Linked DNA regions of Macaca fascicularis. The protein of the gene in region 2 interacts with the protein of the main gene of each other region in a pairwise test. Links are inferred from orthologs where the notes say so. Each region holds a gene or a part of one and is shown on either strand. Other genes may lie near its edges.

Region 1 (2,161 bases), on a different chromosome or scaffold from region 2:
GGTTGCAGTGAGCCATGATTGCACCATCGCACTCCAGCTTGGACAACAGAGTGAGACCCTGTTGATAAACAACAAACCAGTCAACAAAAACAGATTGGGTACTATAATTAAAAATTGTTCGTAAGTTCTACCCAGAGAATTTTTATTCCCTTTGTTCTACAAAGTTCAATATTGTACCTTGGACAAATCATTGATAATCAGGTGTTCTCAATTATGATGGTGTTTTGGGTTATTTCTCTATTGCTTATTTTTAATGTTGAAGTTAAACTTTTTTTCACAGTTAATTGGCAAGGCATTGTAGGAAGCATATTTATAAATGTTTTAAATAAGATACAGGCAAATTTTTTTTTTTTTTTTTTTTTTTTTTTTTTTTTTTTTTTTACAAAGCTACTTTTAATACTTTGGGTTGAGCCCCACAGGAGTAAAAGACACTGGGAAGGGGTAACCCCCTCACCCCCGGGAGTGGCCCAGCGGGAGAGAGGCTACCTGAGGGGAAGGAAGCACAAAAGGGACCTGCTGCAGACTCAGGGCAAAGGGAATGCTATTGGTGCTGGGACCTGTGAGCACTACAGGAGGAAAGGCGAGCGTGGTGGGACTGGCTCCAGGCACACAGGCGAAGGGCAAGAGGGTTGGACACGAAGCCACAAAGCTACTTGGGTTCCTCCTTCTCATTTGCCTTTTTCTGCTTCTGCTGCATGATCTCCGAGTCCCTCGGCTTGCGGGCGGCAGCAGAAAGCCCGTCATCTCGGCGCTTTCCCTTAACCGAGTCGCTCTGCTTTTTCATATTCTTCTGGCGGGCGAGCTCACGCTGGTTACCGTGGGTCATGGCGACGGCAGCGGCTCCGACCTGCCTCCGTTACGTCCCCTCGTTCTGTCCCGCAAAATTCTTTTGTAAAGAAGTGTTTGGTTTCACAAAGTTAATTTCATGTTGGATAATTCAAATTAATTTGGCTGTATAAGTTATTTACAATAAATAAATACATTTAAGGAGTATTTTTCGTACCATTCTACTGTTATAGAAACAGTACTTAATTTTGTTATCGCTTTAAAATATTCAGAAATGGTGTTCATGTAGCTTTCTTATGTTATCAGGATAAGCCTCTTAATCAGTTTTAGGTGTTGTGTTTCAAAAATATGTTCCTTGAATCATAATGGATGCTTGTTAAAAGAAGTCAAGTTAGGCGGGGCAGGGGGCTCATGCCTGTAATCCCAGCACTTTGGGAGGCCAAGGTGGGTGGATCATCTGAGGTCAGGAGTTCGAGACCAACCTGACCAACATGATGAAACCCCATCTCTACTAAAAATACAGAAATTAGCTGGCATGGTGGTAAGTGCCTGTAATCCCAGCTACTCAGGAGGCTGAGGCAGGAGAATCACTTGAACCCAAGAGGCGGAGGTTGCAGACAGCCGAAATGGCGCCGTTGCACTCCAGCCTAGACGACAAGAGTGAAACTCCATCTCAAAAAAAAGAAGTCAAGTTAGAGATACACTAATTTTTTAGTAAGTAGATTTTATAGGTGCTTCATTTATAAGACAAAGTTTCTGTAATTGGTTTCTCATTATAATGCATTTCCTTGTTAGATTATTTTACCATCAACTTCCTCTTTTATAAAATTGGAAACAAGGTAGATCCTTTTTTATTAAAAAGAAGAATTAGGCTGGACACGGTGGCTCACACCTGTAATCCCAGCACTTTGGGAACCTGAGGCGGGAGGATCAGTTGAGCTCAGGAAACATAGTAAAACCGTATCTCTACTAAAAATAAAAATTAGCCAGGTGTGGTGGTACATGCCTGTGGTCCCAGCTACTTGGGAAGCTAAGGTGGAAGTATCGTTTGAGCCCTGGAGGTTGAGGCTACAGTGAGCCATGATTGTGCCACTACACTCCAGCCTGGGTAACAGAGGAGACCTTATGTCTTGAGAAAATAAAAGAAAAAAAAAAAAGAAAAATTAGTTTATGGAGAAGTAATCTCTCTGTTGGGGCTTTTGCATAACGCCATGCATGTTGTACCCTCTGCAAGTTCGCCTGGCTTAAGACAGTGAGTGGGGCCTGAAATTCAGCCCACATTCCATTCTTCTAGCTGTGTGCCTTGAATAGGGAACCATTCACCTAGAGGAAGATTTGCCTTTTTTCCAACTCACACAGAGACACATTATGGGCT
Region 2 (3,518 bases):
ATCTAATTAAGAACCATTAAAATAAATAATAACAATACTAGATCAAATGCAGTGAAAATATAAAAGCTGAGGAGCAATAGTATTACTTAAAGTGATAGGCCCGTGCTATTTGAAGTGTGGTTTGCAGACAGTATCAGTTCATTGGAAGCTGTCAAAATGCAAACTCTTAGGCCCTGTCCCAGATTTACTGACTCAGAATCTCTGAAGATAAGTCCCTGGAATTTGCATTTTAATAAACAATTTAGGTGATTCTAATTTATGTGAAACTTTGAGAAGCACTGGTACAGGTGGAAGAAGAATTGTCAGTTTCACTAATTTATATAACCTTGCTGGTTAAGACCCTAATCTAATTTGGCTAATTTAACTTTTAAAGTCTCCTCCATGACAAAAAAAAATATGTATATTATTTATTGTTTTTTGGTTTGTGGTGGGGGTTTATATAACTTGGCCTGGGAAACGAGATGGGGACCCCAGACTAGCCACATGAAGACTTGAGGTCATGTTTGCAACAGCAGCAGTTGTAGCAAAGGGAGACTAGATAGAGAATAGATCATAGAAAAGAGAGAGAAAAGAGAGCCATAGCATGAATGAATGTTTGCTGGTAGGATATCCAAAGAATTAGTAGGGTGGAACCAAAATGTCTTCAGGAAAGTAGAATCTTCTCCAACTCTACTGCCTCCATCATCTTTGAACTTTCAGAAATAAAAAGTCTAGCCAAGACCTTAGGAACTTTACTATAGTGTATATAGTCTTAAAGTAATTATACATAATTTATATTTGTACAAATAATTACTTTGCTGATGATAATCTAAATTGTTAAGCTCTGTGTAGCATACTGGTGTTGGAATCTGAATTGATACATATTTAGTATTTCTATTAGCATTGTTTATCTTTTCTTTTAATCATCTTAAACTAAAAGCTTTAAGGTATTGAGTTTAAAAATACATGCTTCAAAGATACTTTGACATAAGGAAGTTTTTTTAAATACCTGTGACATTCCATTTTTACCATAGCTACAAAGGTATATTAAGATAAATATTTTTCTGAAGTGTTTAGAAACTACATTTTTAACAGTTAAATTGAACGTTTTAATTATTATTATTTAATCTTTGCTTTAGGTTCTAGTATAATGCCAGCAGCTGGAACAATGTATCTAACAACTTCAACTGGATATCCTTATACTTACCATAATGGTGTTGCTTATTTTCATACTCCAGAGGTAACTTCTGTCCCACCACCTTGGCCTGTAAGTAATTTCATTTAAAAAGGATTTCTACCTATTACTTATTGATTTTTTTAATGTTTGTTTTATTTCTGAAATATTTCAACCACAGATAATTACAAATAATAACACACGTCAACTAAATTTAATAGACATCAACATTTTGCAACATTTACTTAAGTTCTTAAAATGGGGAGTAAAGTAAGACAGCTTCATGTCAGTTTTCCTTACCTTCTTTCCTGTTCAGAAGTAAGCAGAATATCTTTCCTATTCATTTCATATATTTTTACTACAAATATATGTATTCATAAATGACATCTAGTATTGTTTTAGTGGTTTTTAAACACTGTATAAATAATCTGGTTTTTACACTCAGCATTATATTTTTGAGATCAAACCATGTTTGTCTCTTTTTAGATTATATCACATTGATCCTTGTATATGTAGTTCACCTATTTTAATATTTTATAATATTTCATTGTATGAGTGTATTACAATTTTTTATATTCCTCTATTGATGGACATTTTAAGTTTTTTCTACAAACAAGGTTACATTGAATACCCAGATCTTGTATGTATTATGTGAGGGTTTTTCTGGGTGGGGCAGTGGTTTTCTAAGGTTTTACTTATTATATAAATTATCTCTGAATTTTTTTGAAATATTATGAAAACAGTCACTCATTTTTAAGTTGATATCTGAAGTTTATTATAAGTTTAAATAGTTTAGGAATATTGTATATTGTAGGTTTATATATTTTCATCAAAACTTTGTATCTGTAGATTTAGCTTACTTAATAGTGGAAAGTGTCTGCTCTATAACTCAGTTAACAAAGCCGGTCAACCAAATAAAACTACTGAATAAAACTTGCTTTTAGAAAATTCCGACTTTATTTTTAAACTCAAATAAATGATTTAATATGTATCCATGTGACCATCGGCTAATTTAAGTTTGTTCCCTAGATGAAATAAGTATCATCTCCCCTTTAATACTTCTTATGCAAGCTCTTTCTACTTTGCCTTCTCTCATTTCTCAGGGCATTGCCCTCTTGAGTTGTATATCTGTTTGATGCCCTGTTGGTATTTACATTCCTGAACAAAGCATTATAGCAAGATCCAGAAGGAGAGAGAAATACACCTTTCTTTAGGGAAGGAAAAAGGTGATGGTGAAAGGAGAGATTTTAAAAGAAGAATACATATTACACAGACACAGTCACAGGCAGATCACATCAGAAAGCAGTACATATGAAGTTTAGAATATGAAAATTCATACTCTTAAAGTTATTCATGCCCATGTATTTATTACTGGAAAATTTTTGTACTTCCCTAATGTACCTTGGCCTAGGCTAGGATATATACATAGAATTTCACATTCATGAAATATGCATATCTTTGACTAGATGTTGCCAAAGAGCTTTTGAAAGTGTACATTCTAGCCAACAGTTTATGACAGCCCCATTTTTCCATAATCTGCCAACCCTTAAAATTACCAGATTTTTAAATTTATGTCAATATTATTTTATGCAGTAGTATTTTGTTTTACTTTTATTTGCCTAACTTGTAGTAATATTGAACATATTTTCATGTATTTATTGGCCATTCTACTTTCTTCTATGAACTGCCTGTTCATATCCATTGTCCATTTTTCTGTTGGGGTGATTTGTTTTTATCTTGAGTTCGTTACATGAATTTTGTGGGTTGCCAATATCTTCTTCCAATTTGTGGCTTGTTCATTAACTCTTTTTGATTTTTTTCTCATGAAAATTTTATGATTTTTTTGGTCTTTTTTTACAAGAATTTTTTCTTCTTTTTTTATTTTTTATTTTTTCTTATACTTTAAGTTCTAGAGTATATGTGTACAATGTGCAGGTCTGATACATAGGTATACATTTGCTGCAAAAACTCATCATTTACATTAGGTATTTCTCCTAATGCTATCCCTCCCCCAGCCTCCCACCCCCCAACAGGCCCTGGTGTGTGATGTTCCCCACCCTGTGTCCGAGTGTTTTCATTGTTCAATTCCCACCTATGAGTGAGAACATGCGGTGTTTGGTTTTCTGTCTTTGTGATAGTTTGCTGAGAATGATAGTTTCCAACTTCATCCATGTCCCTACAAAGGACATGAATTCATCCTTTTTTATGACTGTATAGTATTCATTGGTGTATATGTGCCACATTTTCTTAATCCAGTCTATCACTGATGGACATTTGGGCTGGTTCCAAGTCTTTGCTATTGTGAATAGTGCCACAATAAACGTATATGTGCATGTGTCTTTATAGTAGCATGATTTATAATTCT

The links.
Region 1: the proteins of BOLL (region 2) and small EDRK-rich factor 2-like interact in a two-hybrid assay, tested with the Homo sapiens proteins (2 studies listed by BioGRID and IntAct). The two-hybrid records come from large-scale screens. The link is inferred for Macaca fascicularis from reciprocal best matches to the Homo sapiens genes BOLL and SERF2.

What each region holds. Positions count from the first base shown.
Region 1 is NC_088387.1:73,609,067-73,611,227, reverse strand, and holds small EDRK-rich factor 2-like, read right to left. Parts: upstream 879-2,161; 5' UTR 827-878; coding exon 650-826; 3' UTR 507-649; downstream 1-506. UniProt on the Homo sapiens protein: Positive regulator of amyloid protein aggregation and proteotoxicity. Induces conformational changes in amyloid proteins, such as HTT, driving them into compact formations preceding the formation of aggregates.
Region 2 is NC_088386.1:93,362,304-93,365,821, reverse strand, and holds part of BOLL (protein boule-like), read left to right. Parts: intron 1-1,118; coding exon 1,119-1,246; intron 1,247-3,518. UniProt on the Homo sapiens protein: Probable RNA-binding protein, which may be required during spermatogenesis. May act by binding to the 3'-UTR of mRNAs and regulating their translation.